2 linked regions of the Macaca mulatta genome follow. The protein of the gene in region 2 interacts with the protein of the main gene of each other region in a biochemical or structural test. Links are inferred from orthologs where the notes say so. Each region holds a gene or a part of one and is shown on either strand. Other genes may lie near its edges.

Region 1 (4,229 bases), on a different chromosome or scaffold from region 2:
AAAAATTAGGGGTGTAGTGGCTCATGCCACTAATCCCAGCACTTTGAGAGGCCGAGGTGGACAGATCCCTCGGAAGTTCCAGACCAGTCTGGGAAACATGGTGAAACTCTCTGTATATGCGTGTGGTAGGATGAGCCTGTTACTATAGCAGCTGAGGTGGGAAGATCGATTGAGCCCAGGAGGTCCAGGCTGCAGTGAGTTGTGATCAGGCCACTGTATCCCAGCCTGTCCAACAGAGCAAGACCCTGCCTAAATTAAAAAAAAAAAAAAAAGAACGAAAGAAAGAAAGAAAAAAAAGAGGTCAGGCTCGGTGACTCATGCTTGTAATCCCAGTACTTTGGGAGCCCAAGGCGGGTGGATCATGAGGTCAGGGTTCGAGACCATCCTGGCCAATATGGGGAAACCCCGTCTCTACAAAAAACACAAACATTAGCCGGGCGTGGTGGCGCGCTCCTGAAATCGCAGCTACTAGGGAGGCTGAGGCAGGAGGAACGCTTGAACCCGGGAGGTGGAGATTAGAGTGAGCCGAGATTGAGCCACTGCACTCCAGCCTGGGCGACGGAGCGAGACTCTGTCTCAAAAAGAAAAAAAAAAGAAAAAAGAAAAAAAAAAAAAAGAAAAGGAAAAGAAAAAAGAAAAGAAATCCTAAAACTCAAATTCCAGTTCCACCAGAGAACCCTGCCTTCTTCTCATCCCTCTGATCTACCCCCTGCCCCCACCCAGCCTGGGGCGCATGGGCGCGTCTCCTCCTCCCTGGGCCCCTCTGTCCACCCGCTTCAGCCTTCAGTGTCCTGGGTCACAAGCGGTGATGTCCACAGCAGCCAGCACACCTGCTCCCGCAGGGCCGGAACCCCTGACCCCTGTAGCGCTGCGCCCACCCCACCCGTGCCCTCCCTCGTGCGCGGCCCGGACCCCGCCACACTGCAGGACGGCTCCCCCTCCGACTGCCCCTCCCTATGGTCCCACCCTGCGCGCCCAACCCACCGGCGACACCCGGCCGCGCCCCCGCCCAGTCCTTGTGACTCGGCGCCTGGAAAGACCACACCAACCCCGGGAGGGGGGCGCTGCTTCCCGACACCGGCCCTGGGCGCGGAGACGGAGCCCGCGGAGCGTGGTAGCCAGGCTCCCAGCCCCGCGCCTTCCCTGCGCCCCGCCCCGCGCGCCCCTTATTGCGGGGCCACCGCGACCCCGCAGGGGACGCCCAAGCCAAGGTCCCCCCTCCCCGCGCCTTGGTGCCGCCCGCGTGTCACGTGACCGCAGCGCCTACTTGAGCAGAGGAGCCGCCGCGTCCCGTCGCCGAGTCCCCTCGCCAGGTTCCCTCCGACGCCGCCAAGATGATGTGCGGGGCGCCCTCCGCCGTGCAGCCGGCCACCGCCGAGACCCAGGACATCGCCGACCAGGTGGGTGGGCCCCGGGGACGGGGCCGGCCCGGGGTCCCGCCTGAGCCTCAGGGCAAGGCCGCGGCTCCTGGAGCGGGAGAAGCCACTTCGGCCCCGCTGCGCACCTGGGCGGGCGGGTTCGGTCCTGGACCCCCGGGCTGGCCGGGCTGTGGCCGTGAGAGGCCTCCCTCCGCTCGGGCGCTGCGTGCGAGTGTGCAGGGGAGGGGGCCGCGCCTGGGTCGGCGCTGGGGAGACACTGGGCTCCGCTGAATACAGCAAGCGCGAGTGGCAACTGATAGCCCCGGAGCAGGGTGCGGTCCCTGGATGGACAATCCCTGAGGGGAAACCCCAGGCATGAGGCGCTTCAGGTGATCGGGCGTCGCCGGCGATGGCGCAGGTGAGCAGCCGGCTCCAAACTTCACGGTGACCCGATAGCAAGCGGGTGGGGAGGGTCTGGCCAAACGGACTTAGCCAGGCTTCTTGCTAAAATTGGATTTTACAAGGAAGTGCGCAGGTGGCCTAGGCGCTTCAGGAGCCCGACTACAGTTTGGCCAAGCAAGAATCTTTGTCAATATCTTCAACTAGTTCAGGCAAATATCATGAGAGAGTGCAAGAGGTCCCCAGCGGTAAGGCACATGGGTTAAAAACTTAAGCGTATCTGCACAAAGGGTCTACAGGTTTCTTTACACGCTTCTGATTCTAACACTGTTTCAAACTGTAAGTCTAAATAAAAAGCTAAAACACACAAAAAAACAAGATAAAAACCGGGCTGGGTTGCAGAGGGCAACCTTCCCTGTGCCTCGGTTTCCTCGTCTGTAAAATGGACGTCCTGTTGCTTTGCACCTTCCAGAGGATTCTAGAGGGGCTTCAGTGAGCAGGTCCTCTGCAGGAAGCCCCTCCGGTGGAGCACAGGCCGGGCCCGCCTCCCTGTCATAGTTGGTGACCAAGTGGATGCCCCAAGCAGGAACAGGTCCAGGCGATGCTGAGGCCTGGGTTTTTTGTTTTTTGTTTTTGAGACGGAGTCTCACCCTGTTGCCCAGACTGGAGTGCAGTGGCGCAATCTGGGCTCCCTGCAACCTCCACTTCCCAGGTTCAAGAGATTCTCCTGCCTTAGCCTCCTGAGTAGCTGGGATTACAGGCATGCACCATCATGCCCGGCTACTTTTTGTATTGTTAGTAGAAACGGGGTTTCACCAGATTGGCCAGGCTAGTCTTGAACTCCTGACCTCAAGTAATCTGCCCACCTCAGCCTCCCAAAGTGCTGGGATTACAGGTGTGAGCCACCATGCCCAGCCGAGGCCTGTTTTTGTTTTGTTTTTGTTTTCTTTGAGACAGAGTCTCGGTCTGTTACCTAGGCTGGAGTGCAGTGGCATGATCTCAGCTCACTGCAACCTCTGCCTCCTGGGTTCAAGCTATTCTCTTGCCTCAGCCTCCCAAGTAGCTGGGATTACAGGCGCCCGCCACCTCACCTGGCTAGTTTTTTGTATTTTTAGTAGAGACGGGGTTTCGCCATGTTGGCCAGGCTGGTCTGGCCTGTGTTTTGAGTAAGGAGAGGAAAAAGGAAACAAATTTCTTTTCCTTTATTTTTATTTATTTATTTATTGACACAGGGTCTTGTTCTGTCACCCAGGCTGGAATGCAGTGGCACAGCCTTGACCTCCCGGGTTCAAGCGATTCTCCTGCCTCAGCCTCCTGAGTAGCTGGGACTACAGGTGCACGCCACCACGCCTGGCTAATTTTTGTATTTTTAGTAGAGACGGGGTTTCACCATGTTGCCAGGCTAGTCTCAAATTCCTGGGCTCAAGCGGCCCTCCAGCTTCACCCTTCCACAGTGCTGGGATTGCGGGGGTGAGCCCCGCCCAGCCTTCTTTCTCACTGGGACTGCAGGCGTGAGCCCTGCCCAGCCTTCTTTCTCCTTTTATCTTTCCTCCCCTCTGCTGCTTCCTGAATGTGATCAGCCCACAGCCTCATCACTCAAGGGTTTTTGACCATCTGACTGCGGGAAGAAGGGCAGAATGAGTCAGTCTCATGACACCTTTGGAAATGAGGCATTTTTGTCCGGCCGGTGCCTGCCCAGGCTGCTTGTGGGAGCCGCACCTGGAAAAGTGGTTCCTCTCCCCGACAGCCACTCATAGAAGCCTACCCAGCTCTTCCTTACCCGTTTCCTGGCTTTCCAGGCCTAAGACATCCCGCATTGTCACCCACTCTGAACTTCGAATGAGTTCTTGTTGCAGCCAGGAGAAAAGAGTCCCTGTCTCAAAAGTGACCTGAGTGGGCCCAGCCATGGCTACTGGGAGGGGCGTTAAGGCAGGCGTATGAACCAGGCAGCCCATTTGCCGGGTGGTCTCTAAGGAAGGGCGGGAGGGAGGGGCAGGGGCGCTTCCTGGACACCCCCTAGTCGGGCCCTGTCTTACCGACTCCTTATGGGAGCGCTCGGGCTGAGTGTTCCTGTCATACTTTGCAGACAAGGAAGGTGGAGACCAGAGCCTGACTTGAGCCCTAAGGCCAGCAGAGTTCCTCATTCTGTGCCACTGCATGGGGGACCCTCCCCCAGAGCCACCCCTGCGCCCTCGCATCCCGTCTGCCCCACTGTCGACACCCCCGACACAGGTGACTGGTCGGTCACTTGCGGCTTTCTAACTCATCCTGCCTTTCAGGGCTCCCCCGGTGAGAGGCCGGCCCCTGCTGCTCCCTGTCAGCGGCGTCAGTGCCCACGCTGCACAGGCGGCCTGGCCTGGAACCAGCACCTCCACGGTGCACAGCCTCCTCCACAGCCTCCTGGGGGTTTCCCTGCCATGCCCTGCAGACTTTGCTGTTCCTGCTCCCGAAACAGCAAAGAGAGGGGCCAGT
Region 2 (4,489 bases):
GCAGCAGACAGGGAATAAAATGGCCCCTGGAAGAACCAGTAAACAGGCACAGGAGTGGTCTGTAGAGGCGGAGGATAAGGCTTGAAGCTAAAAACGAGATTAGTTAAAAGTCTAAACACAGGGCTGGGCACAGTGGCTCACGCCTGTAATCCCAACACTTTGGGAGGCCAAGGCAGGGATCACTTGAGGTCAGGAGTTCAAGACCAGCCTGGCCAACATGGTGAAACCCTGTCTCTACTACAAATACAAAAATTAGCCAGGCATGGTGGTGCATGCCTGTAATCCCAGCTACTCGGGAGGCTGAGGCAGGAGCACTGCTTGAACCTGGGAGATTGTGCCACAGCACTCCAGCCTGGGTGACAGAGCGAGACTCTGTCTCAAAAAAAAAAAAAAAGAGAAAAGGATAAGAAGTGGCATACCTGTAACTCCTCCCTCTCAATGTTTCAGTCCATATCTCGAAAGGAAGGTATATTATTCTACACAACCATAACTCATTAACAGATTTAAGAAAATCACCCCCACCCCGGCGTGGTGGCTCACACCTGTAATCCTACCACTTTGGGAGGCTGAGGCGGATCACCTGAGGTGGGAGTTCGAAAACCAGCCTGGCTAACATGGTGAAACCCCGTCTCTACTAAAAATAATTTTTTAAAATGCCAGGTGTGGTGATGGGCACCGGCAATCCCAGCTACTTGGGAGGCTGAGACAGGAGAACTGCTTGAACCTGGGAGGTGGAGGGTGCACCACTGCACTCCAGCCTGGGCGACAGAGGGAAAGTCTGTCTTAAAAAAAAAAAAAAAAAGAAAGAGAACATCACCGACAGACATCCCAAGGCCCCCCTGAAACGTGATCTCCCTTCATTTCCCAATCCAACCAAGAGCAACAGAAAATATCTGTTACCCCTAAAATGGGTGCAACTTATCTTCCAACTCCCAGGTCCAGCAGCTAGGGAAAGAAAAGAAGCTGCCCAGGAGAAGAGCCTCACCAAACTGCTAAATCAGCACCACATGGGCCGCTTCAACCTGGAGCCAAAGGGCTGCCACCCCTCGCCGCCTGACCAGTTGACAACAGGGCTGTCCTGAGCCAACATCCAGGAGAGCTGTTGGGGCGAGAGCTGTGCCAGGGCCGTGTCTGGTCTGCGTTGCCACCTGGGCCAAGAGACCTGTGCCTTTCCACCAGGGGATACCCCAGCTCCGGGACAAATGACCAAAAAGGAGGAGAAGCCTCTGCTCTCCAGGAGACGTCTGACTCTGTCTTTGGGAAGGCCACACAGGGTGGGCAGCCCAGCCCCTTTCTCCAGGAGCTGGCGGGTTCTAAGTCACCATCACCAAGAAGAAACAGTTCTCCGCCAGGCCAGGCATGGTGACTCATGGGGAGGCCGCGGCAGGCAGGTCACCTGAGGTCAGGAGTTCGAGATCTGCCTGGTCAACATGGTTAAAACTCATCTCTACTAAAAATGCAAAAATTAGCTGGGTGTGGTGGCAGGCACCTGTAATCCCAGCTACTCGGGAGGCTGAGGCAGGAGAATAGCTTGAATCTGGGAGGCGGAAGTTACAGTGAGCCGAGATTGCGGCAGTGCACTCCAGCCTGGGAGACCGAGCGAGACTCCATCTCAAAAAAAAAAAAAAAAAAAAAAAAAAAAAAGAACCGATGTTATGGAAGAGAAAGAGCAGCCCTTAACCAAGCCAACGCCCTCTTAGGCCTCTTCGCCTTACCTTCCTGAACGTTTGGACTGAAAGAGGGTGCATCTCAGCTATCCTCTCCTCCGGCGGGAGGCAGTGGGGATCAGTTTTTCTAGGCTACAAAAACGTGCCAGGTCTGCCTTTGAGCCCCACAGCATCGCTTCTCCAGTGGGTTTGGGGGTCTCTCCTCCGTTAGGAGGAGGGGTGTAGGGCCTGCGCTAGGATCCTTTTCCTTGCCAGCCTGCTGGCTTCCTCGATGCCTGGGGAAGGGGGTGACAGAGGCCCACCAAGAAGCCAAGTGCAATTCACTTCCAGCTGGGTCACCCACCCCAGCCTGCCTGCAGCGCCCCACACCCAGGCACCTACTGCTCCCCAGAGGCCAACTCCCCCCGGCCTCCAGGGCTACTAACCGAGGGGGAGGTAGGGCCCCAGGAACTCTGCCCGGCTTCCCTTTACTGGAGTCCAGGGGCAGGGAGCGTCCCTGGCCTTCTCCCCACCCGGCATCCAATCGCCCATTCGCCTCTTGGTTTCGCAGCTTGGTTTCTCTTCCTGTTTATGGATTTAACTCCGTGCGGGTTCCTCCCCAGCCCACCCAGTGCCAGATCCCTGTTCAACAGGACCTGTCTTCTGGGGTCCCAGGAATTGTGTGGGATCTTGCGCAGAAAGTTGGCCAGGCAAATCCTTTGGAACGAGGGGGAAATAAACCGAAAATAGATGCCGGCAGATGCGATAATCTCGGCAGTTTGTCCCGGGGACACCGAGGCCCAGGCGCTGGGAGCGCGACCCCAGGCAGCAGCCTCCGGACCTAGCCGAGCTCTTCCTCGCAGGCGCCTCCCTCGGGGCTCCTGGCCGCGTCCCCGCTCCGGGGGCCGGGGTCCCGCGCACAGGCCGGGGAGGGGAGCAGAGGGGAGGGGGCTGGCGGGCGGGCCGGCGGGGCTGTTTTCTGCTTTTCTTGTCGACGCTTCGGAGTGCGCGGGCTCCCACCCCAGCCCGCCCGTCAGGGTCAGTCCCGAGGGTCCTGGCTCCCCACCTGCCCCCAGGAACGCCGCGGGGCCGCGCCTAGGCCCGACCGGGGACGCAGAAGAACCCGTCTCGGCGGCCGGTGGCACCGTCCCCGCCAAGGTCACTTCCGCCGCGGTGACCCCGCGCCCCCGGCACTCACCGAACGCTGCCGCCGAGAGTCTGCAGCCCAGCCTGCGCGCCGCGGAGCCGGTGCCGTTGCCGGAGCCCTGCAGCCGCCGTAGCCTGGGCCAGCCCCGGCCCTAAGTACCCTCCCGGTCCTGCGCCACGTGACTACCGCGCAGCCCCGCCCGTGCCCTCCCGCTGCCCGCGCACCCCGCTTCCCAGCCCCCACCTCCTCCCGCCACCTTCCGCCGCCCGCGCTCCCCTCTTCCCGGCCCCGCACCCCCCCACCCCTTCCGCCGGGGGTCCGGGGACACCGCCGGGGAGGGCGGGGGCCTGAGCGCCCGGGTTGGGGAAGAGGGGCTTGGAGCCCTGCGGGCCCTGGGTGGCGAAACGCTGCGAATTGGGGCCAGGGGATGGGGAAAAAGCCCCGAAAGGTGGTCCCAGAGCCCCCACCCCACCTAGAAAAGTCCCCCCGCCTCGCGGGACCGCTTCCGCCAGAACCGGCGCCGGGGATCCCTGCCTGCCGGGTTGGCGGGGGCGGGGTGGGGGAGAGGGCGCCGTCGCTTATTTCATTCATCAGAAGCCGCTGCAGGGGCTGGGGGTGGCGAGGCTGTGGACCCTACAGAACAGTCTTTAAACGCTCCACTTTGTTGTTCTGAGAACGTACCCACAAAACACTCCAGCTACGTACAAATAGAAAAGGGTGGCTGTCACCGCGAAGGAACCTAGGAGCTGCGTCAGGATTTCTACAGAGGAGGAGAAGGACCTTGGGGGGCGGAAATCGGCTTGGCACAGGAGTCCCGGGAGACCTGCTCCGAGAGGACTGACAAAGTGAACATTTACTTGGGGTTTATTAGCGGGAGGGCCTGGAGGGGAGATGCTGGGGTTGGCTCAAGACACCCTCCTCCAGACCCTCCCCAAACAGCTCTAATCCTAAAGACAAACCTGCAAGGCAGGCATGACCCCTGTATTCAAGAGGCTCAAAGAGGCTGGGCGCGGTGGCTCACGCCTGTAATCCCAGCACTTTGGGAGGCCGAGGCGGGCGGATCACCTGAGGTTGGGAGTTCAAGACCAGCCTGACCAACATGGAGAAACTCCGGCTCTACTAAAAATACAAAATTAGCCGGGCGTGGTGGCGCGGAAGGCTGAGGCAGGAGAATCACTTGAACCCGGGAGGCGGAGGTTGTGGTGACCCGAGATCTTGCCATTGCACTCCAGCCTGGGCAACAAGAGTGAAACCCTGCCTTAAAAAAAAAAAAAAAAAAAAAAGAAGTTCAGAAGAATCATCGTATTTTATCCAGGCTGTGGCGACAGTAAAAAGGCAGTAGGACTCCAAGGGACGTGGCTCCCTGCAGCCCGGTCGTCAGCTGTCACACAGCCCTGAGCCTGCCAGGGTCTTCAGAGTCATACCTGTATTCCCGCCTGGTTAGTACCAAACTAAGGATAGGAGTGGAAGGAAAAAATAATCTCTGGAGCCCAAACATGGTCACTAAGCCCCCAGCGGAGTGGGATACCCAAGGAACTGAGGACCAGAAGGCTGGAGGTCAAGGTGGTCCCAACTGCCTGCTCACCCTAGCCCTATCCTGAGGGCCATGGACTCCAGACTCCAAATCAGTGCTGGGGCATGCTGTCTTCCATATGGAAGTCAAATCATTTCAGACCTCTATAAAGAGCTCATAAGA

The links.
Region 1: the proteins of CTSB (region 2) and CSTB form a complex in vitro, tested with the Homo sapiens proteins (2 studies listed by BioGRID). The link is inferred for Macaca mulatta from reciprocal best matches to the Homo sapiens genes CTSB and CSTB.

Annotation. Positions count from the first base shown.
Region 1 is NC_133408.1:3,750,227-3,754,455, forward strand, and holds the start of CSTB (cystatin-B), read left to right. Parts: upstream 1-1,240; 5' UTR 1,241-1,334; coding exon 1,335-1,400; intron 1,401-4,229. UniProt on the Homo sapiens protein: This is an intracellular thiol proteinase inhibitor. Tightly binding reversible inhibitor of cathepsins L, H and B.
Region 2 is NC_133413.1:9,424,642-9,429,130, reverse strand, and holds the start of CTSB (cathepsin B), read right to left. Parts: upstream 2,923-4,489; 5' UTR 2,845-2,922; exon of another isoform or gene 1,716-2,844; intron 1-1,715. UniProt on the Homo sapiens protein: Thiol protease which is believed to participate in intracellular degradation and turnover of proteins. Cleaves matrix extracellular phosphoglycoprotein MEPE. Involved in the solubilization of cross-linked TG/thyroglobulin in the thyroid follicle lumen.